4 linked regions of the Caenorhabditis elegans genome follow. The protein of the gene in region 1 purifies or fractionates together with the protein of each later gene. This does not show direct contact. Each region holds a gene or a part of one and is shown on either strand. Other genes may lie near its edges.

Region 1 (8,179 bases):
CATCTAAAAATCATCAAAATTATATACTCCAAAAAAATGTGGAACGTGCCGAGAGTAAATCACTTTTAAATCAGTTTCTTGAACCCATTATTCAGATTTTTGATCAGTGGAAAAGAATTTGATTAGGTAAAAGTAATCGTTTTAACAGATTCTATTTTTAGTTTATTTGAGTGGGTTGACATTAAAAAAATAAAACTCCTGGATTCACTGAAATTACAAAAAAACCAAAGTATAATATTTCAAATTGCAAAAAAAAAATCGAGGACCTTCATTCCAAAAAAAACAATAATGGGCTGCAGAAGAAAAGGGTGGCCGAAATTGAATAGAGCTGACATACGCACGAAAAAAAAGAAAAACAATAAAAAATTTCTTCTTTCTTTTTGGGAGGAGGAACCTATTTTTTAGATTTTTTTTTGAGAAAGAGCAGGAGAAAATGAAAACACTCGATTCGGTTGTGTGAGTGACAGATGGATGGATTATAATCAAGATATGGGGGAGTTGAAGTTGAAAAGAAAAAGAGTTCAAAGATGAGAATAATATTGAAAAAGTAAGTGAAAATACTCTTAATCTCTAATCGGGCCGGTAAACGGGCTTTTTGAATTAAATTTAGGAGCTCTGAGAGCAGAAAGAGCAGATCTGGGAGGCTTGGGGCTGAAACGAGTGGTAGCGGGCGATAAAAACCTCGAAAGCTGAAAATAGGTTGGAGCGGGTGCGGGAAATTTGTCGGCAAAACTGCAATCCTAACACTCGCCGGGTCAGTAGGACATCACTAGTTAAGCTCAAATGTACAAATCGTTCTAAAAAAACTCAACTTGTTCCTCCTACAATTCGCAGAAAAACTAGAGAGACGAAAAACAAAACAATTGTGTCTGAATGTACCGTCCTCTTGAAAGGGCACTCATTCACTGAAAAACAAGAAAATGACGAGAGAGAAAAAGAGATTCACATCATCTGAAGAAAAAGAGCCGCCAGCTTGTTGACTTATCTAATCAAACCGCTTCTCTCGTCTCTCCCTGTGTCCATCAATTTTCGCCGCTCTTCGTTCACGTCAACAAAGTTTGGGTGTCCAGCTAGCTTTTTCCGCCTGGTTATAGAACTGGCAAATTTTCGAACCTGTCTGCTTACTCCCGCCAGTGTCCTATAATTTAAACGCGACTGCCCATTTCACTCCGGCTTCTGCCCTCTATTGCCCGCTCTGACGGCTACTATCCAGGCGGATTTTTTTGGTTCTGCAACTTCTGCAATTGCTGGTTGCCGAAAATCTCGCTTGCCGTAACATCCCTGCTCCTATCGCCCAGTATTACCCATAGTTGCCTAGGCTGATTTACTCACATAAAAATTTAATGCTCAGAACATGAGCTTTTTGTGCTCTCTTACTAGTTATAATGCGAAAAAGCTCAATTTTCATCTCGTGCACGATGGGAGGATTTTTGAGCAACCTTTTCGATTTCTTTAAAAATTTTAGTATCAGGATTATTAAAAACACATAGATATTAAAAAATATTGTTGAAAAATTCCCACCCACTAATTAGAATGACGTGACTTAAAAAAAACAAAAAGAATGAAGAAAACGAGGAAATGGGGGAAATGTGGGTGGAAAATGAGAGGAAAGGCAATAAAATACATACATACACTCACCCCCGGATATACAATTATTGAGGATGAAGAGGAGGAGGAGAAGAAGAAAATCTGGAAATTGAATAATAATAATTTGTAGCAGGAGTAGGCAGAAAACTATTTTTCCGGCAAACCGGCAAATTGTGGTTTTTTTGTGAAATTCAGAATTTCAATTTCAATCGGCAAAATTGTACACATCCTAGGAATGTTCATACATCTATTTTTAAAAGTAAGCAAATTATATAAAAATATCTAAAGAAAACGGGAAAAGTTCAAATAGGCACAGTTTTAAGTATTTTCGTCTTATAAAAAATCCCTCTAAATATTTACGGCAAATCAGATATTCGGCAAATCGGCAAGCCGGCAATTTGTCGACAAAAAAATTTGCCGGAGCAATTGCCGCCCACCCCTGATTTGTAGTGCGATTAAACAAATTCAACAATATATTTTAATAGTTTTCAAGAAAAAATGTTTTTTTTTTAATTCAAAGTTAGGCAGGGGTCATGATATTGGGAAAATCGTGAGGCTGAATTTTTCTGCAATTTTCAAATTTCCAAAACTATGCACAATGAGCTTCTCGAGAGACTCCTTTCTCTCTCTCTCTTTTTTTCGCTTCGTTTTTTCTATTTTCTAGAAGGGACGCGCACTCACTCACGCTACACTCAATTTAGTTAAATTGCTCTAGAATGTGTTGCTGGAATGGGGAAAAGAGGAACAACGTCATCTCTCGAGAGCTCTCATAATTGGGTGAACGCATCACTGAACACACCACGACAACTTTGGCTGGGCAGGAAAATGAGTTTATGGGAGAAACGGGAAAGTGTTGGAAATGTTGTTTTTTGTAAAGATTGACTGAAAACAATTTTAAAAATTTAAAATGTTCCTGTGATTTTTTTAATTCAGAACTTCGAGCCTCCCGCAAAATTTTTTCGGAAATTTTAAACTGCTTGAATTTCCCGCCTGAATTATTTGAAAAAATAATTTTTCCGACAACGTTTTTTTTGATGAAAACTTAGAATTAAAATACTATAAATCCTGAGAATGCGTATTGCGCAGCATATTTTACGCGCAAAATATCTCGTAGCGAAAACTACAGTAATTCTTAAAATGACTACTGTAGCGCATGTGTCGATTTACGGGCTCAATTTTTGAAGTTATTTTTTTTCGAATAGTAACATCGAAATATCATTTTCATTCGTTTTTTCGTATTATTTTCCCTTTTCTCTTAAAGTTAATTTTAAAAATCGAACCCGTAAATCGACACAAGCGCTACAGTAGTCATTTAAAGATTACTGTAGTTTTCGCTAAGAGATATTTTGCGCGTCAGATATGCTGTTCGCGTTTGGGGAATATCGATCGTCACTAGTCAAAAATTTTAGAGGGGTATATAATGTTTATAATGTTTATATGACAATTTTTAAAATAATGCATCTATTTTTCATTGAGAAATTTTTATTAATTGTTTTTCTTATATTCATTTGAAACTATAACATCATATCTTTGATTAATCATTATTTAAATCTTAAAATTTCTCGAGCCCTATTTAAATAAAACTTAATTAAATTTATCGACAAGATCCCGCAGAAAAACTAAATTTGAAATTCCCTCTCATTGTGTTGCGTACAGCACACCAAATGTTACGCAACTTTCTCTGCGTCTCTCTCCATCGCATTGTCTCTCTTCTACCGTAACCTTCAAGTTTTCTCTTCAAAAAATAGTTTTTCAAATCCAATTTTCGTTCTTTTTCTGTTTTCCCGCTGTAAAACTAAGAAATCTGAACAAAATGCAATTTTATTTCTTTTCCCAAGCTTTTTCTTATCAATCAATCTCTTTGTTCTCTTTCTCCTACTCTTCTCCGCTTCAAAACTTGTTATCAAATCGTACTACTGCTTTCTGCACAAGTATATATTATCTCCCTCAGTCTTATCGTTATATTTTACATTCATCGCTACTATTTTCCATCAAAAAGTAATCGTACTATTCAGAGAAAATGAGCTCGCTCACCGACAAAACCCGAAATGGAGCCCTGAAGCGGAATCTGCTCCGCCAAATGCTCAAAGCGAGCGTCTTCAAATTCGGCGAGTTTCAGCTCAAGTCTGGGCAGATTTCACCGATTTATATCGATCTTCGCGAATGCTTTGGGCATCCGGGGCTTTTGGTGAGTTTTTTAAAGTTTAAAAAAAAAATAATAGCTTATTTTAATGATTTTTATTTAAAAGAAAACTATTTCCAGATGCTTATCTCAGAAGCGATATCGAAGCAGGTGGAGATTAGCGAGGTTCAGTACGCTGGAGTTCTTGGAATCCCATACGCGGCTCTTCCCTACGCATCAGTCGCCGCTGGAAACTATCTGAAGAAGCCGCTGCTCATCGTTCGCAAAGAGGCCAAGTCCTACGGCACGAAGAAGCTCATCGAGGGATTGTACCAGCCAAACGATCGTCTGATCCTCATCGAAGACGTCGTGACGACAGGTGGAAGCATCCTGGACGTGGTAAAAGTGCTTCACACAGAGAATTTGGTCGCCTCGGATGTATTTTGCATTCTGGATCGAGAACAAGGCGGGCGTCAGAAGCTCCAGGACGCGGGTGTCACGCTGCACAGCCTGCTCGACATGCAAACAGTTCTCACATTCTTGTACTCAACTGGAGCGATCGGTGACGAGCAGTGGCACGGAATTGTTCAGGTTAGTCAAATTATCTCGATTTTCTATTTAAAAATAAAATAATTGATTATTTCAGGCTCTCAACCTTCCGTACACCTCCCCAACAAAGCTGGAAATCAACAGCGAGCTCGAAAACCTGTCCAGTCTACCGTACGTGGAAAACGTGCGAACTCCGCTTGCGGAACGCGAATCCCTCACAGAATCTGCACTCATCAAGAAAATTCTTGGAATCATGCGCCGGAAGAAGTCGAATCTGTGTCTCGCTGTCGACTACACTACCGTCGAGCAGTGCCTTCAGATGATCGAGCTCGCTGGTCCATTTGTGCTGGCGATCAAGCTTCACGCCGACGCTATCACCGATTTCAACGAGGAATTCACGAGGAAGCTGACGACGATGGCAAATGATATGGACTTTATCATTTTCGAGGATCGGAAGTTTGGCGACACTGGAAACACGAACCTTCTTCAGCTCACTGGAGCCCAGAAAATCGCCAACTGGGCGGATGTTGTGACTGTTCATGCCGTACAAGGAAGTGACAGCATTGCAGGAGTCTTCAGGAAGCTCGCCAAAGATCCGACTTACAGGCTCAGTGGAGTTCTCCTCATCGCGCAGCTCAGCACCAAAGGATCTTTGACTGCGCTGGAAGGATACACCGAGACCGCCGTCAAGATTGCCAACGAGAATCGTGACGTGATTTCTGGATTCATCACTCAGACGAGAGTGTCTGCTTGCTCGGATCTTCTCAATTGGACGCCCGGTGTGAATCTCGACGCGAAATCCGACTCGGCCGGTCAGCAGTGGAGAGGTGTCGACGAGGCGATCGAAGTACAGCAGAACGACATCATCATCGTCGGAAGAGGCGTCACGTCGTCCAGTGAGCCCGTTCAGCAGCTCAAGAGGTTTGTTTTTTTTTTTTTAATTAAATTTTTAAATGTCAATTTTCTCTTTCAGATATCGACAAATCGCCTGGGATGCGCTCACGAGAAGCGACGATAGCATTTGAAAGTTGAAAAATCCGGAGAGCCTATTTGTAAAGAAGAAATGTGAATATTTATCTAATTACGTATTTATTTAACTTTGTTGATTTTGTTCAAGCTTCCCCAGAATTGTTGAAATAAGTAAATTGATTGCCTCCATCTTCCTCAAATTATCAAGAAATCACATGCCCACACCATTTACTTTACTGCTAACCTGATTAATCAATATTTTCTCCGTCAAGGCGAAAAGCTACTCCTCTAAGCGATCTTATCAGTTCGAAAAATCGGCATCTGATGTGTGAACGACCCGGTGTGTATTCTATAATGTCCTTTGATCTTTTCCTCCATGCTGAAAACATCAGAAACGATTCGATTCCTTATCAGTGCCGCCGCGAAGTTGATAAAAGACACGAGCATCACTGCTCCGGGTGCATTTTCGCTTCATTTCTCCAGTTTTTCATCTTAAAATCTACAGAATGACTCGCATTCTTCCGTGTCTTTTCCTTGTCTTGCTCGCCGCTGCTCCACTTCTAGCCAATCCAGCTAACCCACTCAATCTCAAGAAGCATCACGGTGTTTTCTGTGATGTCTGCAAGGCTCTCGTCGAGGTTTGTGCTCCAAATATCTCCAATTTTCCTCGTTATTCACATATTTCAGGGTGGAGAGAAGGTTGGAGATGATGATCTCGATGCATGGCTTGATGTGAACATCGGAACTCTTTGCTGGACTATGCTGTTGCCGTTGCATCACGAGTGTGAGGAAGAGCTGAAGAAGGTCAAGAAGGAGCTGAAAAAGGATATTGAGAACAAGGATTCTCCAGACAAGGCGTGCAAGGATGTTGATTTGTGCTAAGAATAATAAATGTTTCCTTCAAAATCATCAAAATATTCTTTCATTTAACAAAAACAGAAACAACGGCGAAATTGGTTTGTGCGCGTGGAATTTTAGAGTTATAAAAATTAGAACTCGTGTTGGTTCTAGTTGTTGAATGGGGGAAAAGTTCTCAGCTACCCTGAGAACACGTAAACTAGAAAACCACACACGGTAGAAGGGAGGGGGTATAAAATTAGAAATTAGAATATAATTGTCTCGAAACACACACACACATACAAAAGAAAGTTATCTGGATAAAATATAGAGTGTGGTGAGGACTGATAATTTACAGCGGCGATTTAATAGCACCAATTAAGCACTATGACACGTGGATGTGAGGAGTGATTGTGAGATGTGGAGGTGAAGTCTACTGGACAACGCAGCATCCTCGCATGAATCGAACGTGGCGGCGGCGGAGTGCTCCGAGCTGAAAATTTAAAATAAATATACTTTCTTGAGCAATATTTATAATTACCGCTTGAGGGGAAGGTTTCGCCTCCAGTGCCATATGTTGAAGCTCCTCGGTTCTGCTGAGAATCCTGACATCATCGTCGACGCTGTCCACTTTTGCGATTGGCACATGTTGCTTTGACACTATCGCCTGCAGTGCTGCAATGCGATCTTTGATTGTGGGATCCGCACGATTGCCGTCCAGCTCGACGTTGACTACTACAGTCTTAGCCTTCTGCTCTTCTTTTACAGGGGACAACTGCTCGGCACTTTGTGATACTTTCATCGACTTGTCGATCATTGTCATCGGTTCCGCTTCATCTTCACTGCACAATGAGTATGGAACATCTGCGTCACTCTGAAACTAATTTTAATAATTTAATTCAGAAAATCGCATCAGCAAACCTCCACGGAATCTGCTCGTTTTCGGTGATCATCCTTCAATGGAGTCTCAATGACTGTGATGATCTCCGAGGATCCTGGTCCACTGCCATTACTGTCGACTGTTTTGAGCTGGAAACCATCGGTATCTTTGACTCCGAGCTAAAAATTTCAGTATTAAAAAACAAAAACTTGATTATTAAAATATTAGTACCTCTGCAAATAGATCCTCATTCAATTTAGTCTTGGATGCAAAGTACTCTCGATCCAATGAAGACATTGAAGATTGTTCTTTGGCACAGAACGCGTTCTCAGTTTCCTCTTTAACTGGATTAGGAGTAGTGACTTTTTGTCTGGCTTCTTGCTCGGCGACGAATTCGGCCAGCTGCTCCTTCCCGTTCGCAATGATGCTACTGTGAGTAGAAGTGCTTCTGAAGATGACATTTGTCACTTCAGTCTCCGCGTGTTCCTCCTTCTTTGACGCCGAAAACACTTCATCCACTCTAGGCGCGGAGCCTCCAATTTCTTCGAGAACCTGCGCATAAATGGATTTTGGCTTGTGCTCTGCAAAGTTGACGCCGGCATCGAACTTCTCGATGAGATGCTTGATGGGTTTCCCGTTGGCGAGTTCTGCGGACACCATAGTTTTTCTTTCGGCGGGCAACGGCGGCGTCGCGTGCACTTTCGCCTCTTCGGAAGCGTTTCTGAAAAGTAAAAGTGTTGATGGTGGCGGACGATAAGGGAAACTTACTGTGTCATGGAAAGAGTTGCATCCGCATGTGAAACTGATTGAATAACTGCTTCAAAGGCGGCATCAATTGATTCCGTGAGCACTATCGGAGCCACAATCTCTTGAGCCTTGAAAAGCTTCTCAACTTTTGCCTCCTCCACAATAATCACATCAGCAACCATTGCACTGTCGACCTGATCGCTTTCAGCAGCGATTCTCTGATCTTCTTCAAAGACATCGTCTTCCATCTCCATCTTAGAACCGTCAACCTCATCCTTATCCTCAACCGGCGATGAATTTTCCGAGCGAACCTGAAAATTTGAATATACTAAAAATTGGGTATACTTCCACCTACATCCTTCCCAGACACCCATCCTTCGTCATCAGTCATTGAAGACTGTTGTGCCAGAGACCTTTGCGATGGAGAGTTGTCGGACTTGCTTAAATCCGAAGTTGGACCAGCTGCTTTGTCATCGCAGTCTGTTGAG
Region 2 (8,661 bases), on another chromosome or scaffold:
AAGATGAAGCCGAGAAGCTTGTCCAACGCGCCCTGGAAGCCGGTATGCACGGTGACAACGCCTCAGGAAACAGTTTGAATCTTGTGATCATCGAGCCAAGCGAGACCGTCTTCAAGGGGCCAATTGTGCCAGAATTCTGCAAGCGACCAGAGCCCAACGACCTCGTCTACAAATTCCAGGCCGGAGCCACCAAGGTGCTGAAACACAAGACCTACAAGTACGACGTCGTCGAGTCCATGGATATCACTCACTAAATTGCGGTCTTCTGTCGATGTGTGTATTCTTTCCCCCAATTATTTATTTTTTTTCGATTTTCCATCCGTTTCGGTGTCGTCGGTGATTACTTTTTTCGGTATTTTCGTATCCGCCGGCAGTTCTTATCACATTTGTTTTATAAATTCCGAATATAAACTGTCTATTTTCCTTAAAACTGGTATTGTTTGTTGTCTTAATTTGGACTGAAAGCCGGAAAAATGACTTGAAAAACGCTTTCAAGTGTTTTTCCCAATAGTAAAAGTTACTCTCCGGGTTTTAAAAGGAAAAAACTGCGAAATGAATAGATTTTCCAGATCTGAATTGAAAACTTTCTGCGAAAAACTAATTTCCACCTGAATTCTTCTCAAAAGTCAAGAGAGAAGAGTCAAAACTCACAAGAAAAAAATAATCCGATTTGAATTGCCGCGCAGAGAGTTAGATGTGCAGGTCATATAGCAAACACGCTCCACCCACCAATCATTGGCGCGAAACATTTTTTTGTATCTTGTTCTGACTCATTTCCCTGCCTTCCCCGTCGTAATCAGTGTCGTTTTTCCGAAAAATTCCAAATTTTATCATTATTTTATCAGTTTTCCATAGTTTACCCTCATTCGGCCGTGTTCCGGCCCTTTCAAAAATGTTTGTTTTCACGTAAAATCGAATTTTGAAGACGTGAAGCTTCTTCAAGTTGAAATTCAACATTTTCAAATCATTTTGCGATTTCACAAGACGGTTTTCTGCTGCATCTTCCTTGATTAATCTCCGAAAGCACGTATGTTTCAAAATGACTCAAAGTAATCCCATTGGGAATTGCGAAATTCCCATTGTTATTCTCTGGGTCTCTTACAACGGGGTTTTGGCTCCCTTGCAGTCCACTCCTTTGCACTCATTTCAATCCGCTCTCCACTGGCGCCCCGCTATTTCGTCATCATTTTTTTGCAATCGATGACTTGTCCACCGCGGTGTCCGATGTTGGGCTATGTTGAGAGAGCGCGCGCGCTCGTGCGTTCTCGGCCCTATTTGGGCTCACTTTCGTCTCTGCTCTCACCGCAATCGTTTCGTTCTCATATAACAATTGTCTTTCTCTTTTAAAACTTTATAATTTTCTTTTTCAGAAAAGAAAATGCGTGAGGTCATCTCTATCCACGTCGGACAAGCCGGAGTCCAAATCGGAAACGCCTGCTGGGAGCTCTACTGCCTCGAGCACGGAATCCAGCCCGATGGAACCATGCCAACTCAATCAACGAACGAGGGAGAGTCGTTCACCACTTTCTTCTCAGACACCGGATCCGGCCGTTACGTTCCAAGATCCATCTTCGTCGATCTCGAGCCAACTGTCGTTGACGAGATTCGCACTGGAACCTACAAGAAGCTCTTCCATCCAGAGCAGATGATCACCGGAAAGGAAGACGCCGCTAACAACTACGCTCGTGGACACTACACCGTCGGAAAGGAGCTCATCGACACCGTCCTCGACAGGATCCGTCGTCTCGCTGATAACTGCAGTGGACTCCAAGGATTCTTCGTCTTCCACTCCTTCGGAGGAGGTACCGGATCCGGATTCACTTCGCTTCTTATGGAACGTCTTTCCGTCGACTACGGAAAGAAGTCCAAGCTCGAGTTCTCCATCTACCCAGCTCCACAGGTCTCAACCGCCGTCGTTGAGCCATACAACTCGATCCTCACCACCCATACCACCTTGGAGCACTCCGACTGCGCCTTCATGGTCGATAACGAGGCCATCTACGACATCTGCCGCAGAAACTTGGATGTTGAGCGACCAAGCTACACCAACCTCAACAGAATCATCTCCCAGGTTTGTTGAGCTCAATTTGATTGTTGTATTCTAATGTTCTCTTTTTACAGGTTGTCTCCTCAATCACTGCTTCCTTGAGATTCGATGGAGCCCTCAACGTTGATCTCAACGAGTTCCAGACCAACTTGGTGCCATACCCAAGAATTCACTTCCCATTGGCCGCCTACACTCCACTCATCTCTGCTGAGAAGGCCTACCACGAGGCTCTGTCCGTCAGCGACATCACCAATAGCTGCTTCGAGCCGGCTAACCAGATGGTCAAGTGTGATCCACGTCACGGAAAGTACATGGCTGTGTGCCTCTTGTACAGAGGAGACGTCGTTCCAAAGGACGTTAACACCGCCATCGCTGCAATCAAGACCAAGAGAACCATCCAATTCGTCGATTGGTGCCCAACCGGATTCAAGGTCGGAATCAACTACCAGCCACCAACTGTTGTGCCAGGAGGTGATCTTGCCAAGGTGCCACGCGCCGTCTGCATGCTCTCCAACACTACCGCCATCGCTGAGGCCTGGTCTCGTCTCGACTACAAGTTCGACTTGATGTACGCCAAGCGTGCCTTCGTCCACTGGTATGTTGCCCGTTAAACTATACTTTTCAAATATTCAATGTGTTTCTTTTCAGGTACGTCGGAGAAGGTATGGAGGAAGGAGAGTTCACCGAGGCTCGTGAGGACTTGGCTGCTCTCGAGAAGGACTACGAAGAGGTCGGAGCTGACTCCAACGAGGGAGGAGAAGAGGAGGGAGAGGAGTACTAGATGCTCCCACAATCAACTGCCTGGCGATTGACTTTTAATTTATTACTGCAGTTCGATCGTCATAAACAATGTATTATGAAGTATTTTATTTATATAATGTTTTTTGTTAAAAAGAGAAAGAATGAAAGTCGGAACACTTTACGTTTATACCGAGTTGAGTGCCGCAGAGCAAACATGTACAAGCCGACAGTATTTGAGCAGCAGACGCTTGTTCTGCTCATCGATCAGTATTAGATTACAGAAATGGCTGGGCATGTGAATGGAACATGTGCTCCAGTGATTCCAAAGGTTGGTGATGAGGAAGACGGTGTCGGGCAGTTGGTGGCAAATCTGAAAGAGAAGGGAACAAATTTTGTTCTTTTGAAGAAGACTCCACAGATACTTGAATTGCAGACAATTTTGAAAGATAGGTATGAAGTTTGACTGGGAATAGACTGAAGCCTCAAACATTTTATGGGTGAAAATTTAAAGAAAGGGGCTGAAAACTCATATTTCCAAGCTCTTTTTCCAGATTTTGCGGAAAAATTAACGATTTTCGGTATTTTTGCCGGAAAAACTTGTTGATTTTAAATAAACTCCTTTTTTGCCTTAAAAAGCGATTTTCTTGGAATTTAGATTTTAAAAATCCGTTAATTCACAAATTTTCGGGTCAGAAACGGCATTTTAAGCGATTTTGCCAGTAAATTAGGAGAAAAATAGAAAACGTTTTCATTTTTTGGCCTTTTTGCCGTGAAATTAACTGAAATTTTGATTAAAAAACGTTTTTTTTTGTTAGAAAACATGAATATATTTATTTATATAAATGAATTTTTCAAGGATTTTCTCGGATTTTGAGTCAAAATTCCGATATTTTCATAAATTTCCGGGTCCGAAACGGTATTTTTCGTGATTTCCTCGCAATTTTAGAAGTTTTCCTTGTAAAAATTGGTTGAGGCTCAGAGAATCTTGTAGTTTGTAGTTTGTAGCCCCATAGCCTCAACCATCTTCCAATTTCCAGATCAACAAATCACTCGGATTTCGTATTCAACGCGGATCGTCTGATGCGGCTTGTAATTGAAGAATGTCTCAATCATCTTCCATTCACTGAGCACACAGTTACCACACCAACAGGCTTCAAATATGAAGGAATTCAATTTAATCGTGGAAATTGTGGAGTATCGTTGTGTAGAAGTGGAGAGGCGATGGAAGTTTCATTGAGACAGTGTTGTCGGTGTATTCGAATTGGAAAAATTCTGATTGGTACGGGAAATTGAGGATATCGAGAGGAATTTGGGAAATTTCCTAGAAAAGGCGAAGAAAATTGAGAAATATAGAAGAAAATGGCGAAAAATCACCAAAATCATTGCGATTTTCATCAATTTCTCCCTGAAATTACCTGGAATCTCTTATAAATGCAGATTTCTGCTTGAAAAATGGAAAAATCTGGTGAATATCCAGTTTTTATAGATTTTCTCCTGAATACCCCTCAAAATCTGTGAAAAGTCTGACTTTTCCTTCAAAAATACCTCTAATTCGTAGAGAAACTCGTTTTTTCAGCCGAAAAATGTTTTTTTTTTTAAATCTGTAATAAATATGTACTGTTCTTATGGTAAAATTCCTGAAAAATATATTAAAAATATATATAATAGTAAAATTTGCGTTTTTACCCAGAAAAGTGGTAGAAATCGTGAGTTTTACTGAGTTTGTCGAAAACTGGCGATACTTTTTTAAAAGAAAAACCTCAAAACTCGCAAAATTTCCAATTTTCATCCACTTTTTGTTACAGGCGACGAACAAAAAGTGCTCTACGCCAGGCTTCTTCCGGATATCACGTCGCGTCGAGTTCTACTGCTCTACCCAACGATAGGGTACGCTCAGAGACTACAAACTACAAAAAATATCTGGCCGAAATAAATTTGATTGAAAAATCTGAGAAAAAAAACACAAAATTTAATGTCAAAAAATCGATTTTCCCGGCGAAAAATCGTAAAATTCAATAATTTGTTTGACGTAGAAACTTTAAAAATGTCGATCACTAAAACTTCCCCAGAAGGCGAAAAATTGTCTAAAAAATTGAGTTTTTTTTTGTGCAAAAAAAATCTTTTTTTGAAATTTTTTTAACTGAAGAAACATTTAAATTTAAAAAATCACATTTTTATCAAAATTTCCAATTTTTCAGATCTGGGACGACAGTTTGCAAGGCAATTGAAGTCCTAAAAGAGGCACGTGTCCCAGATGAGAATATCTACTTGGTTTCCCTATTCATCTCACCGACTGGACTCAAGAATATAACCAGAAAGTACCCGTATATCACTGTCGTCGCCTCCGATATCACATCTCTCTATCCAAATCATTTCTCAACCAGCTATTTTGGTGCTGTCTAGACTAGTTTTGTGTAGTTTGTAGCCTTTTGACACTACAAACTACATCGTTTCCGTTTCAAATGCAGTATTTTTATTCACTTTTCTCACTTGATCATCTCTTCATTTCTCGTTATTGGTTTGTAGTTTGTAGTTATTGTAGTCTTCTTTTTTACTTTTTCACTGTTGATTTCCCCTATTTTTTTTTGACAAAATGTTCATTGAATTTCCGCATAACTAAATTCTTTTGTGTTGTTTTCGGTTCATTAAACATTATTTTAAGATGCAATGACTACGGTAGTCATTTTCTGAGTACATGGTGTGCGTACAGGGCGCTATATTTTACGCGCAAAGTTGAGAGTGAGATTTTTCCTCATTTTTTGGATTTTCACTGCAAATTTAAGAAATTTTACGAAAATAAACGTTTTATTTCAAATTCTATTTGCTACTTTGCATGCAAATTGTTTTTTTTTCATTATATTCTGAAAATAAAATAAGTTAAAATTAGCCGTTTCAAAAAAAGTTTCCGAAACTACGGTAGTTCTCGGAGTACGCAACTTGCGTACCGGGCATCTCATTTGACGCACAGAATTCCTAGTTTATTGTTTTTGGATTTTCAAAATTTCAAACATAGTTTTTGCATTTTTCCTGTCGTTTTTGTGATTTTTATTTGTGAAAATTTATTAGACAGAAAAGAAATTTTCAGTTTTCACGAAATTTACTGGAAAATTTGTTATTTTACCGTTAGGTAACGTATTTTACAAAGATATTTCACTTTATCCGTATTTTCTTATTGTTTTCTTCACTTCAAACGATTGAAAACTGAATCAATCAAATAAATTTCCTATTTTTCAGGTAATTTGTCAAAATGACTGGCTCATCTCGTGGAATTGTCGAAATGACAAAGAAACTGGATCGATTAAATTGTTAGTGTTAAAATGAAATTTGCATCGGATTCAGTTTAAAATTTGCTTATTTTCAGATCGAAGAAAAGACCACTTACGCTTTTAAGCATGCCAGTTGATGTTATGGAGAAAGTTATGAAGAAAGTGGATCCATACGATTGGTATCAAATTTTGAATGTTAGGCAAATGTTAAAAAAAAACCAAATGAGTTTCAGGATTTCCGTCCGCAATTCCAATCGAAATCTTCGAGATTTCGTCGACAGCCAGCACCTCAAATTGGACATTGATGTTTCTATTGAGGGCACTTTTCACACCATTGATATCAATGGAAATCAATCCTTCGGACCTTTCCATCCGGTCGTGGCTGATGATGAAAGAAGAACCATCTACAATAAAAGACTACAGTTTGCTCTCAGAAAATTGTTCGTGGTTATGAAGCTTCCAAGTGCCCAAATTGAAGAGTTCAAACTGGATTTTGACTTTATGGGAAGAGGAAGTGACGAATTTGAAGATATCTACGATATTGGTTCCAGAAGAGTTAGTTTTAAAAATAAACTGTTGAGTGCAAGCCTGAGAACAATCGATAAGGAGTTTGGAGAGTTTCACTGTTTCCAAGCGAAATCAGTTTCTCTGAGTGGACTAAAGGAACCTCGAACTGTGCTCATTCTCAAATCTTTCAAGTCTGGAACTCTCGAGAACATTGAAATCATTAATTCCTACAAGTTCTACTTCAGTTGGCAGCTGACGCTTTCGGAGCAGTGGAAGAATGCGAAAAAACTGAAAACTGGACTTTCCACTGATCGCTACACCGGAATTCGAGTTGCTGAACTGTTCGCATTTTCAAATATCGAATTCACAACTGTAGTATTGTCATCTGATTTGAAAGTGGTATAGAAATTCTTAATTATTGATTAATTAATTTTAGATTTTTTTTCAGTTGGTTGATTCGTCTGCAAAGCTGGAAACTTGTCTCAGCAGGAACACGTATGACAGCGAGGATGACAGCGATGAAGATAGTGATGAAGACAGCGATGATGAGGACAATAGTGGAGTGTTAACGGTGTCAAAAGAAGTGCTCAAAGTGTTCGATCCGAACTTTGTTGGCTATAACGGAACAATCAATTACAAAGCAAATGGATTCGAATATCTCATTGAAGTCACTGAATTCGAAACTAAAATTGTGAAGAAAATCGAATAATCTTCTCATTTTTCAAAATTTGCTTTTGTTTTACTAGTCACATGAATTCTTATTTTGTTACTTTTTTTGTTTTGAAACTGATTAAACCAATAATTTGGGTTACGGCTGAATGTTACCTTCCGTTTAATATTTTGTAATCTTCCCAGTTTTTCTATATTTTAAAAGGAATTCTCGAATAGTTAACAAAGATCCTTTTCCAAACTACGGTAACTCTCAGAGTACGCAGTATGCGTACCGGGCATCTCATTTGACGCACAAAAATTCTAAATTTTTTTTTGAATTTTCAAATGTGGTTTATGCGTTTTTCTAACCAATTTTTTGTGATTTTTCCCCTGAAAATGATTTAAAATAAGTAAAATAACCTGTTTTTGTAAAAATTAATTTCGTTTTTACACATTGAACGTGATTTTCTATATTTACTCAAATTAATTTTTTTCAGGTAATTCGTCGACATGACTAGCCAAAGAGCAGAAATTGGTGAAACGACGGACAAGCAGAATTCCATGAAATTGTTAGTTATTTAGGCTACAATAATTTCAAATAACTTTTTTAAAACACATTTTCAGATCGAAGACAAGCTCGCCGACGCTTTTTGACTTGCCTCTGAATATTATGAAGAAAATTGTGAAGAAACTGCATCCATACGATTGGTAAGATCAAATAAATAAAAATTATATTTTTAGAAAGTATAATAAAAATATTTTCAGGATTTCCGTTCGCAATTCCAATGGAAATCTTCGAAGCTTCATCGACACCTTGAAACTGGATTTGGACATTGATATTTTTATTGAGGGCCATAGGTACACCATTGTTCTCAATGGAAAATCATTTCGTTATCGGTATAGATTTGTGCCTTATGATGAAATAAGCAACGCTCGCAATGAACCTTTCCATCCGGTCGTGGCTGATGATGAAAGAAGAACCATCTACAATAAAGGACTACAGTTTGCTCTCAGAAAATTGTTCAATGTCATGAAGCTTCCAAAAGCTCAGATTGAGAAGTTCAGTCTAGATTTCGACTCAATTGGAGGATATGAAGACTATGTCCACAATGAACGGTTGAGGTCAAGCCTGAGAACAATCGATATGGAGTTTGGAGATGCTCACTGTTTCCGAGCGAAATCAGTTTCTCTGAGTGGATTCAAGAAACCACGAGCTGCGCTAATTCTCAGTTCTTTCGATGCTGGAACACTTGTGAAATTTGAGATTATGCGTTGCATCTTCAACGATATTCGTCCACTAACTTGCTTGGAACAGTTTAAAAATGCAAAACAATTGCGAACTGATCTTAACATTTGCTCCGTCTTTGGATTTACTGTGTCGGATCTTCTTGGATTTTCAAGTATTGAATTCACCAGTCCAGAGGTATCGCCAAATGATCTGAAAGAGGT
Region 3 (7,935 bases), on another chromosome or scaffold:
TAGCAGTAAGAACCTTGATAATCGAAGGACGGAGATCAGCGTCGATCATGATTGCAGCTTTTACCATTATACGACGTTCAGAGAACTTCCAATTGTGCGTTATCGTTTCCAGGAGTCTTCCAAAACCATGAAGGGAGCCTCCGAGTTGATCACGCAAATTCCGGCAGATGTTCAGGAAGACTTGAGCGCGGATCTTTGTGTTCATTGTGATCGTGATGGATTTGATGAGGCCACCTGTTAAAATACATTTAGATTTATAAACGAAAATAAAAATATTGCAACACTAACCACATGCAGTGAAAGGATCATTCTCTAAGAATTCTTCATCGTCGGGGCGGAGTGAGCTATTGAGAAAGTCAAGATTATCCAATTGCATTCGACGGAAAAAATCGTGGGTTGAAACGTAGGTTTTGACTCGTGAGCACAACTTTGTGGATGTCAGTGAAAGCGCATTAATGGATTGCACTGAAAAATGTGAATGTTAAAATTTCTGATCAGTACTTCACAACTAACTGTCAAGAATTGTGAAAATATGCGAATAGGCTCTATTCGGCAGGTTTTCCAAGCCCACTGGTGCATCTGGAGATGGCACACATTTCGAGGAAAATTTGACAGGAACACCTAAAAGTGCTCGCAAATCCTCCAAGGAGTACAAAAGCCCATTGTCTGGTGAATCGGTATGAGAGGTTTGAGATAAGTTGTTGGGAGCTTCGAAACTTTCTGAAAATCAAGAAAATTAATTTTAAATTAAAAGAAAAATTGTCGTACCGTCCAACTTCTGGCATACGTTTTTCGATTCAGAGCTTGAACGTTCCCGTTTTACTGTTGCAAAGAACTTCGTGATTGGGGGCGTCGAATCGGAATTTCTTCGCTTTCTAGCCAACAATCGGAACGGTGGCTCGGTTCGCCGAAACATTTTTATACGAAAAATACTTTAAAATCAGAGGAAAATACTTTGGGACCGGTGAAAAAGCATGGAGGTTCGCACAAACTTGTTTAGGAAAACAGAAATATGTCTCCGTGGCAGGACCATACTGTGCGCCGTTGATGTCCCTTTGATACAGTACTCTTCGCATTATTTATTTTTTTTCGGCGCGCCTAGGGGTTTTCGAGCGCAGAGTTCAGGAGGCCTTCTGGATTATGGATAGAGGCTTGATTTTTAAAATTGTTTAATTCAATACAGTTTTATTAAAGTTTTTTCTAAAAATCTTTTCTAAAAATAATATCTGATTGCTGTTTATACACGAGAACAAAACTAATTTCATGGAAACAATTTTTTCTCTTTATTTTCTCTTCGAATAATTTAAATTTTAACAATTCAGGTTTTAAATAATCAATTTTTAAATAAGCAAGTGAATTTTAAGCATAACTTTTCTTCCTAGTGTACGTAAATCATTCTTTCCAACAAACATATTTTTTCGTGACGAAACTTCGCCTTCCAGAATATTCTTTTTTCAGAAAATAAATACCAAAAAGCACAATTTCTTATCTCTTGCTCATTCTTTTCTTTGTATCGTGCTCATGCTTTTATTCATTCCTCATTTTTATCTTGCGAAACCAATGTATTTTCAATAAAAAAAACGAGTGATGCATGTGCGCTCCACCGGCCGACGGAAGATCGAACATGCACTGCGCTTCGCGAGTAAATAGAACGCTCTGGAAAGTTCCGCACTCTTCTCTCTCATGATTCGGCGCACTCTCTCTTCCATTTCTCCGTGTTTCCTCTTCTGATGTTGACCCATATTTATTCTGCCGGGTGTATTCTTTTTATCTATCTGTTGCTTCATTTATTCCGTTAACCTGTTACTGGTTAATATTTCAAAAATTCATATGATTTCTTTTCAGATTACTTTCCACAATGGGAAAAGACTACTACAAAGTGCTGGGCATCAGCAAAGGTGCAACAGACGATGAAATCAAAAAGGCTTATCGTAAAATGGCTTTGAAATACCATCCGGATAAGAATAAGGAAGCTGGAGCTGAGAACAAATTCAAGGTATTTTTTAAAATTTAGTTTTCTAATTTAAAAAAAAGTTTTTGGTCCTCGGTGAAGGATACTGTACTTTTCATGACCAAGTTGTTATTTTTAAGCACTCGATTTAAAAACGATTTTAATCAAAATATAGAAAATCCCAGTAAAATTGCAGTTTTTCTGGGAATTTATTGATGTTAACCTGAAATAATATTTTTTTTAATTACAGGAAATTGCCGAAGCTTACGATGTTCTTTCCGATGATAAGAAAAAGAAGATTTACGATCAATTCGGAGAGGAAGGACTAAAGGAAGGTGGACCAGGAGCCGGAGGTGGTGGCGGCGGTGGAATGCACTACGAATTCCGTGGAGACCCAATGAACATTTTCTCATCATTCTTTGGAGGATCCGATCCGTTCGGTGCTGGTGGACCTGGAATGTTTGATCTTGGTGGTGGAGCCGGAGGCCCGAATATGTTCTTCATGAATCAAGGTGGTATGGATGACGGTATGTTCGGCGGCATGCATCAAGGTGGAAGACGTGGACATGCTCGTCAAGATCCTGCTGTGCTCCATGATCTTTCTGTCAGTTTGGAGGATGTACTGAAAGGTACAACGAAGAAGATGAAGATTACAAGAAAAGTTATGACGGACAATGCTCAACGCCTAGAAGACAAAGTTTTGACGGTCACTATTAAACCAGGATGGAAGTCAGGCACAAAGATCACATTCCCAAAAGAAGGTGATCAGCACCCGAACAGAACTCCCGCCGACATAGTCTTCGTCATCAAGGATAAGCCACACCCGAAATTCAAGCGAGAGGGATCTGACATCAAACGCGTCGAAAAGATCTCCCTGAAGTCTGCATTGACTGGCCTTGATATTATGATTCCAACGTTGGATGGAGCAGACTACCGTCTTCAATTGAACGATGTCATTAAGCCGGGAACTACAAGACGGTAGGTTAAAAATTTTGAGATTCACGAGAAGTAAATTATTAATTTTAATTCTTTCAGGCTGACTGGAAAAGGACTTCCAAATCCAAAGTCTCCATCTCACAGAGGAGATTTAATCATTGAGTTTGACGTGGAATTCCCATCACAACTCAATCCAACTCAACGGGAAGTGATTCTGAGGAACTTCTAATCGCATTTTTCAATTTTCCCTCTCTTGCTTATCAATCAACTACAGTCGAACCAAGACGGGTAAACAATCACTCTTGATTGCCATTGGATTCGATTTAGCAGTATTCAGTCGCCTTGTTCGATGTTTTCAAGCGGGTATTTAAGAGATTTTTTATTAGGATGTTGTTCTTTTTATCACCCATGTTTCATTGTTAATTACCCATCTCACACATATTGCCCATAGTTATTCAGATGCATTTTTTATCGTTTATCAAGTCTCATTCTAATGACATGAAAACCTTCATTGACAAGATACTCGGTGTAATTGTATCCCCCCTCAACCGCCCCCTCTTTCAATTTTAATTCGTGCTTCCTTATCAACATTTCCGATAAATAAACTTTTAAATTAAAGCAAAAGAAAGTTTTGTGATTTTCGTGTGTTCAGTTGATCTGTCTCCTCATCGTATCGATTGTCTTGTCCTTGGCCACGTGGGGGTAAAAGATGATATCGGGCGTTGAAAGAAAGGAGATGAGGGCACACCATCATCATTCTTTACCAGTTTGCAGCGGCAAAAATGCTGACCAGAGGATTCACGTCAATTGGCAAGATTGCAAGTAGAGGTAATTAATGTTTCAGTTAATATTTAAGGCTGGTGTAGTCGAATTTAATTAAGACTGCTGTAAAAATACAATAAAAACCGCAACAATCACCTAAAATTAGCCGAAAACAATAATCAACATATTAATTATATGATTGTCCGAGAGGAGTACACGCAGAGGGCGCTCGTTCGCGCGCGAAGTTCAAAAAATTTAGAATTATTCGCTATTTCGAAGCCATAACTCACGTTAACGAAATTTTTGTGATGTATCGTTTTTACATATCGTCTAAATTCGACTACACCCAAAAAATTATTCTCAAACTTGAGCTCACCCTCCAAATATTTCAGGTCTCTCGTCGACGTTCTACCAAGATGCTTTCCAGCTTTCGGATCAGCTCACTGAAGACGAAAGATCTTTGATGCTCTCGGCTCGGGAATACTGTCAGGAGCGACTTTTGCCACGTGTCACAGAAGCTTACAGAACTGAAAGTGAGACACTCCATACCGAATTCTTATTTAATTTTACCATAGTCTTGATTTCCAGAATTCGACCCATCCCTGATTCCGGAAATGGGAAGTATGGGCCTGTTGGGCGCCCCATATCAAGGATACGGCTGCGCTGGAACATCAACTGTTGGCTATGGACTCATCGCTCGTGAGGTGGAACGAGTCGATTCGGGATACAGATCTACGATGAGTGTGCAAACGAGTCTGGTGATCGGACCGATCTACAACTACGGAAGTGAGGATCAGAAGCAGAAATATATTCCCGATTTGGCGAGTGGAAAGAAGATCGGATGCTTCGGATTGACCGAGCCGAATCATGGATCTAATCCAGGAGGAATGGAGACAAAGGCCACGTAAGTCTAGAAAATATTTGATTCATTTTCAAAACTCTTGTGTTTTTCAGCTGGGATGAGACCACAAAAACCTACAAATTGAATGGATCGAAGACTTGGATCTCCAACAGCCCTGTCTCTGATGTGATGGTCGTTTGGGCGAGAAGTGCTCGCCACAACAATAAAATCAAGGGATTCATCCTGGAACGTGGAATGAAGGGACTGACGACTCCAAAAATTGAAGGAAAACTTTCATTGAGAGCCTCGATCACTGGACAGATTGCAATGGATGATGTTCCAGTACCAGAGGAGAATCTTCTCCCGAACGCTGAAGGGCTTCAAGGACCATTCGGATGCCTGAATAACGCACGCCTCGGAATCGCGTGGGGTGCTCTCGGAGCAGCTGAAGAATGCTTCCATCTCGCACGCCAGTACACTTTGGATCGCCAACAGTTCGGACGCCCACTTGCACAGAATCAGCTGATGCAGTTGAAGATGGCTGATATGTTAACTGAAATCTCTTTGGGTCTTCAAGGATGCCTTCGTGTGTCCCGCCTGAAAGATGAGGGAAAAGTTCAATCAGAGCAGATCTCGATTATCAAAAGAAACTCGTGTGGAAAGGCTCTCGAGGTGGCACGAAAGGCGAGAGATATGCTTGGTGGAAATGGAATTGTGGATGAGTACCATATTATGAGACATATGGTGAATTTGGAGACAGTTAACACTTATGAAGGAACACACGATGTACATGCTCTGATCCTTGGAAGAGCCATCACGGGACTCAACGGATTCTGCTAATTTTTTCTTTTTTTTCCTTTTTTCACTTATTGTCTAGTCTTGTCATAGTCTATTGCTTTTCAACGCAAAAAGTTTTATTTCATTCCCAAAAATATTGAAGTTTCAATAAATATGTAGCACACGTTGGAAATTCTTTCTTGTTGCTCAATTAGATCAGCCTTTCGAGGAGAGTCTGAAAACATAAAATTTAGTTAGAAAACGTGGTGTTTTGTCAAATTTATTACGCTCCGTATCACAAAGGAGTGCACAGAGTTGATACTCAGCCAAATGCCAAATTATAAATATTGAATTAAAATTCCAGAAAATCAGAAACTTTTACATAACTTTGAATAAATTTCAGCAATGACCTGCAAGTCTTTTATGCATTTATTTGAAACAATTCAGGTGGGTCTCGACACGAATGAAATGTTTCAACTACAGTACCCACTCTCTCGACTCTTTCTAAATATATTTAATTTTCTTTAAATAGATATGAGCTATAGAATTAAAAATTGTGTTCAAATTTTTACTTTTATTTCCAAAACAACCATATTCACAGGGGAATCCGAAAATATCAACAAAAAAAAATGAAACGCTCCGAGTTGAAATCTAGCTGAATTACAAATAATTGGATATTTAAACAATGATGTTTTAAGAATTTTCAGAATTTGGAAATTTATAAGATTACATTAGTTATCTGTGAATTGTATGGAAATTGGTCTCGAACTCTGTATAATTGGAGAATAAATTAATTTTACAGTCATAAATACTAATGGAAAAATTACGGCTTGTCTATTTAAATACACTTATAATGATTTAAAAAGACCGAATAATTTAATAAAACACTTCAAAAATTTTTTCGATTTTTCATAATTTCCGGCCAAAATTTTGTCAAATTGCCAAAATTTCGAAAAATATGAGCTTTTGAGGATATTCTAACTTCGCATGTTTTGACCCTATAATGTTTTAGTACAAATAGCTAGAACAAAACTTATAGTATAAAAATGTAGGAAAAAAACAATTTTTTTGGTCGACTTCCAAGAGTGACAAAACTGAGTAATTGCCACTTTTTGACTGTAAATAAAACATTTCCAAAAAATGCTTGAAAAGTTTTATTATGATATTCGATCATTTTGGCACCATAGGAGTAGTTTTTGATACTTTCCTCACTATCGCTCCTCCACCTTTAATGAATTCGATTTCCCAAAAAGAAATCCTCGACTTTCTTTTCTCCAGAAACATCCAAAACTTGAAATTTTTTCTGGTTTTCGTCAATCTCGTGGTGCGAAGTGATTCCATTCAACTTAATAGAAAAGTTTGAATCGGATCTGATTCAAGAAACGGAGCGTCCTGTGGGCTTGAAGTGTTCTTACTGAGCCCATACAGTCATTTCTCCCCCAGCAAGTCGGATTCCAAAACGTATCTCACCGATTCGCATGTGGTGTCAGACTGTCCCATCGCTTCACTGCACATGAGAAGCGGGAAACTTTTTTTTTGAACATTTATGACGTCACAGCGCATTTCGAATGAATGTTTTTCAATGATTTTCGTTTTTTTATAGTATTTTACTTCAATTCCGCACTTAACTTGCTAAATTGTTACAATTTCGGTGATCAATATCAATTTTAGAAGTCAACATGAGAAAGTTATTTGAAAAATTATTGGGTTGAACCGGAAGTCTTTGTGACTTTTTCAATCGTTTATTTCTCGAAGCAAAAGAAACTTCAGGATAAATTTTATTTGCTATCATTATCATCGGTATACTGCCAACGTGTGCGCAACTTATGAACGTCCTGCTTAAAGAACCCTTCCAGGCGCAAGTCGAAATAATGCTTGAGTGCCATTTCGACACTTCCATGGGAATTGAAGGTTCTTTCCCAGAGGTTACGAGTCACATCGGAAATCAACCAGTTTTCAGATGGGACAATGTCTGGAGAATACGGTGGGTAACGGAGAACCATCCATCCACGCCTGACCAGTTCTTGCAATACTTGTTTCAAGCCGTAGGGACAAACGTTGTTTTGTTGAAAATAGAGTTGCTTGTCCATCAGGGGTGAACGATTGAAGACTTTCTTCAGGTTTCGTGGTTAGATAACGTAGAGGCCCCCAGTAATTATTTTGCTATCAGGTAGCAGTTCCCAGTAGATGGGGCCGTACACTTCTCACCACACTGTGAGCATGACTTTTTTGGGGTGAAGGTCGGGTTTGGCGGCATCCTGTGGGGTCTCTCCTTCTCCAATCCACTGGGCACGCCTGTGGTTGTTATCGTAGAGGTCCCACTTCTCGTCTCCAGTAAAAACTGGGTCCAACCATCAATCGCCCCCGTGGAGAATGAGGAGGGAAAGGGAATCATCCACTAAAAAATCAAGATTGTCTTGTGTCATGGTGTGAGGTATGAATCCACCCCTAATTTTCTTTATTCCGAGAGCTGCCAAGCCCTGTACGATGTTGGTTTAATGAGACCCAGGTGCGGTTGACAGCTCACGGGTGGTTTGGAAAGGATCCGTTGCCACGGCTTTCTTAAACGCATCCAAATCCAATTTATGGGGTCTCATGATCCTCGAGAGAAAAGTCGTCCTTGTCGAAGCGGTGGAACCAATTGTGTATGATATTATAGTGATGGGCA
Region 4 (6,718 bases), on another chromosome or scaffold:
CTACGGTACCCGCATTCTGCAAATAATATACTTCCAATTGAATTATATAAAAATTCCACTAACTTCTTTCAACGGTTTCCCATTTGATAGTAAAAGAACCTTGGGTTCCTCTAAATCTCAGCATTGCTCCTGTTGAAGTCATTGTGATTGGAGTGTCACTCAGCGGTGCGTGAACACTGTGTGAATCTCCACAGAATGTTGCAAACTCAGAAGAACTGTCTTCTGGTCCATCGTATAATGTCAAATTCGCATCAGTTTTGGCACAATCTGTAGGTCCTGATCCTTCTTGCGTAAATTTATCAAATTCTGTGAAAGTCATTACAACTGCAGAGTTTGCAGCAGGAATATTGAAGACGAAATCACATATGGACAGTTCCGTTTTATTCGATCGTTGTAGGTCGAATGTATAATTTCCGCTCGAATGAGTGAAGTGAGAGCCACAGTCTACAAAATGAGTTTTGTTTTTGAGGTTTCAGTCTCTGCTGATGTCTACTTGACAGTGACTGCGCAGTCCCAGAACAACCTTCGGTGGCTAACTGTTACTCTTATTTGTAAGGAGCAGAGAAACCAGTCAAGTTTTGAGCAGGCAGTGGCGGTATCGGTAAGACTTTGGTACAGGCTTTGGATCTAACTTCTGATACTGTAGAATCTTGACTGAAGAGCGTGGCATGGTGAGTCCACTTTTTTAACAACTCTGCCTGTGAAACCTACCAGCAGTTAGATCCAAAATATGTTCAAAAGTCTATACTAAGTTTGCCCAAGGCTAAAGCTGGGCCGCTCCTTGTACAGAAAACAAGCAATAAAAATTTTATTAATGAATTTTCTTACGTTCTTCCTCTTCTTCGCATGCCCTACCAAAGAAGTGCTCTGGACAGTCGCAATAAGCAGAATTTTCAACGGCAATACAAGTTCCTCCATTTTTGCAAGGATTCGTTTGGCACGGTGATGTTTTCTCACAGAACTTTCCAAGAAAACCAGCTTCACATTCACATTTATATTCGGTGTCGCTTGTTGGCTGAAAACTATTTTTTGAGTAACAGTGCTTACTTGTCTTCATTTGTGTTACCTTGCATTTCCCAGCATTAACACAATTGTGGTTCTGGCAAACGTTACTTGCTGACTTAACACATCCTTCCTCTCCAATTCCGTCACCAACATATCCATCTGGACAGTAGCAAGTGTAGTCTCCAACAGCACTGTATCCGTCGTCAGTTACCTTGCATGTTGCTAATTTATGGCATTTGTTTTTGACACAACTATCATCTTTCACACAATTTCCTCCATCGCCGGAGTATCCAGTCGGACACGAATCACAATAATAACTGCCAAGAGTGTTATGACATTTTGAAAGCGGAGAGCATACACGAATTTCACCTTCACATTCGTTGACATCAATACAAACATTTCCATCGGCTGAATTTATTTTACTTTTTGGATTTCAATGACAGATATTCAGTACATTTTTCGACACCTTCAAACTAACAAATTCTGATTTTTCACATTGTTAAGCCGAAGTTTATAAGACTTTCTCTCCTCATTCTCGGAACTGAGAAATCCAAACAAGTATTTTCACAAAAAAAGCTTGAAATTTGTAAGTGTTATACAGGGTAGGCACTTGTTCAGGCGTACGTGTCTACCTCATGCCTACCACACACCTATTGACCTATTTAAATGCCTACTTACCTATTTTATGAAAACGTTTTGGATACGAGTATATATTTTCTAGACAAGAATTAAACCAAAAAAATTATTTTATTTTTGATTTGATTGAACATATATAATTCTAACTTACTTTTATATCCTTTTGGACATCCGGAACACACAAACGATCCAGGCAAATTAATACAATCAACTCCTGGATGACATGGATTTGATTCGCATTCATTGACATCAACACACGTTGGATTGTTCTTATCACTTGAAACCTTGAAACCCCAATCACAAATACACTTGTACGTAGTTGTATCGGAAGATGACTGACCAGTTGGATCCACAATACTCTCAATACAATGCCCATGTGGACCACACAATTCAAAAGTTTTCGAGCAAGCGGACATATGATACTGACAAAGAGATCCATGATATCCGGATTGGCACTGACATTCAAATCCGCCACGGTTATTGATACATGTTCCATTGTTCTGACATCCAGCAGTTGTACCATTGTATACTGAGCATTCATCGATGTCAGCTTCACAAGTTGTACCGGTGAAATGTGGAGGACAAAGACAAGTGAATTTGGCGCCAAAAGATGGGATACATGTGCCTCCATTACTACATTTGTTCGGATCGCACGCGTTTATTGCTATCAATTTGTTGATTCCTCTTGAAAGTTAACAATTTATAAAAAATAGTCAAACCTAACTTGTTGTGTCTTACATGATTTGACGTGTCATTTTCACCAATAATCCCCGTCTCCTCATGTCTCTGGCCATTTTATCAGTTTTCCACTTCTTCAAGATATTCACTTCGAGTGTCATATTTCGAAGCTAAAAATTGATTTCAAAAAGAGAAAAAAATGTATGGAATTACCGCTACTAGATAATGTTTTGCAGAATTTAAAACCACTCTCATTGCAGAAGTCTGCGTGTCCTGGCGACTTTTCAAAGTGGTGAACATTTGAGAAGTGTTCTCAATACGTCCAACAAGTTGCTTGAAAGATGCCTGAAAATTATTTTGAATATTGAAAATTGTAATTCGAGTTAATTTTCAAAAACTTCCATAGTTCAAACATTTTCAAACAATTATTCATTTTGAAAAGTTTTATAAAAATAATAGAACTTAATTATCAAAATTTACGTGACCGTTTCTCAGGAAAGTGATTCTTTTTAAATAGTTGTCAAAAAGTAAATTTTTGCGTGATCTCCGACTATCTAATTCCAACTCTTACTCGTAATCCACGTTTCGTTCCTTTTTCTAATCTGACCGTCTATGTTTTAATCAGTTCTTGAAACATGGGCAAGAAGAAGTCTGATACGGCATCCGGTGGAGCTATTCCAGAAGGAGACAATGAGAAAGGAAAGAAGGTTAGTTAAATTTTTCATTATAGTGTTCCCAGAAAACCTATTGATTTTCAGATCTTCAAACAACGTTGCGAGCAATGTCACGTTGTCAACTCATTGCAAACAAAGACTGGACCAACATTGAACGGAGTGATTGGAAGACAATCCGGACAAGTTGCTGGATTTGACTACTCGGCTGCCAACAAGAATAAAGGAGTTGTATGGGACAGACAAACACTTTTCGACTATTTGGCTGATCCGAAAAAGTACATCCCCGGAACTAAGGTAGGATTTTCTAGGAAGTGCGATGGAGTATTAATAAGAAATTTTCAGATGGTCTTCGCTGGTTTGAAGAAAGCTGACGAACGAGCTGATCTCATCAAATTTATTGAAGTGGAAGCTGCCAAGAAACCATCGGCATAAGCCTCTACTAAATAAGAAATCTGTGTGTTAAGCAAAGCAACGTATCAAAAATAAATGTTTTGTAGAAGCTCGTTCATTTTTTTTTTGGATAATTTCAGCAGTCTACCTACAATATCTGGAAGTTTGGAAACATCTGTTTCGTCCACATATATTCTTCCATTTCCAGTCGTTTTGAACGTTATATTTTTATCCTTTCCGGCATGCAACCACACATTTCCATCAACCATTAGAATACGTGATCTGAAATGTTTTCGGACGTAATTTTGAAAAAAAATTAAAGGATTCGTTACCTTGTTTCATATGAATCTTCGATGTGTATTTCTTCATAGTCAATTGAAGATACATGATTTAATAAGCCGAATAGTATTAATGAAAGAAATAACTGTAAGTTAGGTATCATTTGTTGCGAAAATGAAATGAAATTAATGGAGTTGCACGGTGGAGGGTGAATAATTTGTTTATGTCATTGATACCTGATTGGAAATTGAGACGATCCATTTGTTTATAACAGATTATGTAAGAGAACACCTGCCAATGTTTAGGTTATGAGTAACTAGTGGGCCGTTGAATTTGTGTTCGGTTTTAATGAAAAAACTGTTAAGCTGGCTGAAACTCAGGTATCAAAATATGATGGTGTTGAATACTCTCCAAATAATCGCTCTAAAAAAGTGTCAGGCTGTACAGATATAACAAATGTATCTTATTAATAGTTCAAAAATAATATTTCGTGCAAACTGATTGGTCTGGCATGTGGTAAACAAATAAGCCAGCAGTTGAGATGTAGGCAGGCACGAGGTAGGCACGAAGACAATTCCACTGCTTTAATTGGAAATATTTTCAGGTATTAATCTGCTTTTTCAAAAATATTTTCTTACACAACATTTCGCATAAATTTCGAATCATTTATTGTTTTTTTTTTCAATTATTTTCGTTCGCATAAAGGCAGTGTGAGGAATGAAATCATAATATGAAACAACGATGGGCTGGGCAAGTTCCGTAATACTCTTCTATTTTCTTCCATAAGCATAATAATAGTATGGAGATGTATAATAGTAGTAAGGTGGCTGAGCAGCCACAGCTCCAGTCTGTTGAGTTCCTTGCTGATGATTTTGAGTATTTCCAGATTGATCATATTGAGGCGTGTATTGCTGTTGTTGTTGTGGTTGTTGCTGCATTTGGGATGATTGATCATATTGAACCTGTTGGGTATTTCCTGATTGATCATACTGTACTGGTTGCTGTTGAACTCCTTGTTGGTATTGAAGAGTTTGTTGTTGCTGACCCTGTTGCGTTTGTTGTGGATAATACTGTTGTTGTTGTTGTTGGGTTCCTTGAGCATACTGTTGGTTTTGTTGTGGTTGCTGTTGAGCATAAGCTTGTTGGGAAGCTCCACCAGCCTGAGTTTGCTGAGCAACTCCAGTGGTACCAGCAACTGCAGCGGTTGGATAATAGTAATAGTATGGTGTGTAATAACTTGTTGGATAATACAAGTATTGGGCAGAAGCCACAGCAAGAAGTGAGCAAAGAGCAAGGAGGCTGAAAATTTACGAATGAATGATGCACATCCTACCTAATGATAACATAAATCGTTTGCTAGAAAACTTACGTGTTCATTTCGTTCGATTGAAGTGAGCAGAAATGGTGAAGATTTTTCGTTTGATCATTTTTATACCTTATTTCAATGGGTGTGTCTAACCCAATACTGTCATCATCAGTTGCATTCCGAAAAAAACTGCGAAAAAACTCCACGATTGTATGTTTTTCTTTTATTCCATCCATGCCAACCACAAAGTTACTGAGTAAACTCGAGGTCAAGAGAAAAGAGCCCAATCAAAAGAAATAGTGAGAAAGCAAAGAGAGCAAGACTCTGAGTTTGTTGACTTTCAAAAGGACTTCATTGAGAATGGCAGTTGGCGGCAAGCTAAAACGGTTCAATTTGATAATGGTGATAATGATCAAGGCTCAAGATTGATACCTTAGATTGATATTTAATTAAAAGTGCAAGATGCTAAATGGCTATAGTAATAACATTATCAAATTACAAATCTGTAAAACTGACTCATCTGAATCTAAACAATGGGTCAAATTTCTAGTAAGCTCGAAGTTAATAATTACTAAATAATTTTTAACAGAAAACTTTGAGCTTTGAGCACGAAAAATTCGACGACTTTTCATGTAAATAAACGGCTGGAAAATCATTTTCAACTGGTCTAACGTTGTTATGCCAAAAATGATCATTTTCACGGTTTGAACCAAAATTATAAAGAGTTTAGTGACTTTTATGTGATAAACTTCTACAGGGATCTAGCAAACATTATTTTAGTCAATCTCTGAACCTTGGATACCTTCTAAGTCATATGAATCAATAATAACTGTGATCAATTTATGGTCAACCCATGTTTCCAATCTTATTAGTAATATACAATTCCACAAGAAACCACGATAAAGACCACGGGTAAACACTACATTTTTTGTTTGTAAGTCATTTTGTGTTTCTGAAAAATAGCAAACAAAGCAAGGATGTACATGCGTATTTCGGGAGTCCCAAGAACATGTTGTTGACAAGAAAATGACAGAAAAAGTGAAAAGATAGAAATTTGCAGATTTTCAGTATTTCGCGCTTCTTTGATCTACTACTTTGTGTGAAGATGGAATGTGAGGAGAGAGGTGTAGAACAAACTATTTTTAGTTTTTTGGTGATTTGTAGGAGCCACTGATGGAATTTGGGAGTGTGGCGAGTAAGTATAAAATGGTAACGACACACTGGACTTAATCATTCTAAATATAACTTTCCCCAAAATGAAGACGTGAGTCTCAAATTTAATATAAAATTTAATTTGCTTTTGTGAATCAGTTTTTCATCTAGAATTGTTATTTTAACGTTAGTTTTATTGAATCTTTTTAAAATAATAGTTTTGATATTTAGTTTAAATTTTGAAACGTATTACTGTAGACCCAGACAAACTGACAATATAGAACACAGGGTTTTTGGAGTAAGCATCCACTGAGCAGTGGCCTGAAACATGTGAACAAGCACACAAACTATAGAAACTTTTTTTTATTGTATTGTTAACTCGGAAAAATTTGAAACTACACTTTAATGACTCACGAAAACGTTGCTTAGCAGTACCCTATTGGGCTATATATATAGCTTAATTTTTAATAGCTTGATTACTTATTTTTTATAAACATAAGATTTGAGATAAGTTTATTGTTCATACGTTCAACGTCAATTGCTTAATTTTCAGTTTCCTTGCTCTGTTCTCCCTTCTTGCTGTGGCCTCTGCGCAACA

The links.
Region 2: the proteins of umps-1 (region 1) and C47B2.2 fractionate together in Caenorhabditis elegans (co-fractionation; one large-scale study listed by BioGRID). This does not show direct contact.
Region 3: the proteins of umps-1 (region 1) and F54D5.7 fractionate together in Caenorhabditis elegans (co-fractionation; one large-scale study listed by BioGRID). This does not show direct contact.
Region 4: the proteins of umps-1 (region 1) and cyc-2.2 fractionate together in Caenorhabditis elegans (co-fractionation; one large-scale study listed by BioGRID). This does not show direct contact.

What each region holds. Positions count from the first base shown.
Region 1 is NC_003281.10:10,353,072-10,361,250, reverse strand, and holds umps-1 (Orotidine 5'-phosphate decarboxylase), read left to right. Parts: upstream 1-3,602; 5' UTR 3,603-3,607; coding exon 3,608-3,775; intron 3,776-3,850; coding exon 3,851-4,300; intron 4,301-4,355; coding exon 4,356-5,179; intron 5,180-5,231; coding exon 5,232-5,283; 3' UTR 5,284-5,414; downstream 5,415-8,179. Other genes in the region: spp-1 (Saposin B-type domain-containing protein), read left to right, coding at 5,734-5,865, 5,915-6,109; T07C4.3 (ANK_REP_REGION domain-containing protein), read right to left, coding at 6,498-6,557, 6,606-6,944, 6,986-7,123, 7,176-7,665, 7,713-8,002, 8,047-8,179. UniProt on the Caenorhabditis elegans protein: Bifunctional enzyme which catalyzes the formation of UMP from orotate in the de novo pathway of pyrimidine biosynthesis. May also form UMP from uracil. Regulates the size of gut granules during embryonic development.
Region 2 is NC_003279.8:12,958,981-12,967,641, reverse strand, and holds C47B2.2 (Phosphoribosyltransferase domain-containing protein), read left to right. Parts: upstream 1-3,062; 5' UTR 3,063-3,071; coding exon 3,072-3,238; intron 3,239-3,825; coding exon 3,826-4,067; intron 4,068-4,593; coding exon 4,594-4,675; intron 4,676-4,986; coding exon 4,987-5,191; 3' UTR 5,192-5,600; downstream 5,601-8,661. Other genes in the region: pbs-2 (Proteasome subunit beta), read left to right, coding at 1-254; tba-2 (Tubulin alpha-2 chain), read left to right, coding at 1,379-2,071, 2,122-2,642, 2,696-2,828; fbxa-140 (F-box domain-containing protein), read left to right, coding at 6,181-6,233, 6,288-6,960, 7,010-7,270; fbxa-101 (DUF38 domain-containing protein), read left to right, coding at 7,723-7,781, 7,837-7,920, 7,978-8,659.
Region 3 is NC_003280.10:11,543,856-11,551,790, forward strand, and holds F54D5.7 (putative glutaryl-CoA dehydrogenase, mitochondrial), read left to right. Parts: upstream 1-3,661; 5' UTR 3,662-3,669; coding exon 3,670-3,715; intron 3,716-3,766; exon of another isoform or gene 3,767-3,916; intron 3,917-4,041; coding exon 4,042-4,182; intron 4,183-4,237; coding exon 4,238-4,553; intron 4,554-4,603; coding exon 4,604-5,330; 3' UTR 5,331-5,457; downstream 5,458-7,935. Other genes in the region: F54D5.9 (F-box domain-containing protein), read right to left, coding at 1-234, 289-465, 514-720, 769-916; dnj-13 (DnaJ homolog subfamily B member 13), read left to right, coding at 1,859-1,996, 2,202-2,929, 2,987-3,116.
Region 4 is NC_003283.11:12,608,454-12,615,171, reverse strand, and holds cyc-2.2 (putative cytochrome c 2.2), read left to right. Parts: upstream 1-2,953; 5' UTR 2,954-2,954; coding exon 2,955-3,026; intron 3,027-3,077; coding exon 3,078-3,287; intron 3,288-3,335; coding exon 3,336-3,425; 3' UTR 3,426-3,490; downstream 3,491-6,718. Other genes in the region: cubn-1 (Cubilin homolog), read right to left, coding at 1-16, 64-444, 829-1,015, 1,067-1,413, 1,793-2,325, 2,380-2,489, 2,533-2,664, 3,536-3,665 and 1 more; ZC116.1 (Prion-like-(Q/N-rich)-domain-bearing protein), read right to left, coding at 4,433-4,961, 5,032-5,204; ZC116.5 (Conserved secreted protein), read left to right, coding at 6,225-6,232, 6,674-6,718. UniProt on the Caenorhabditis elegans protein: Electron carrier protein. The oxidized form of the cytochrome c heme group can accept an electron from the heme group of the cytochrome c1 subunit of cytochrome reductase.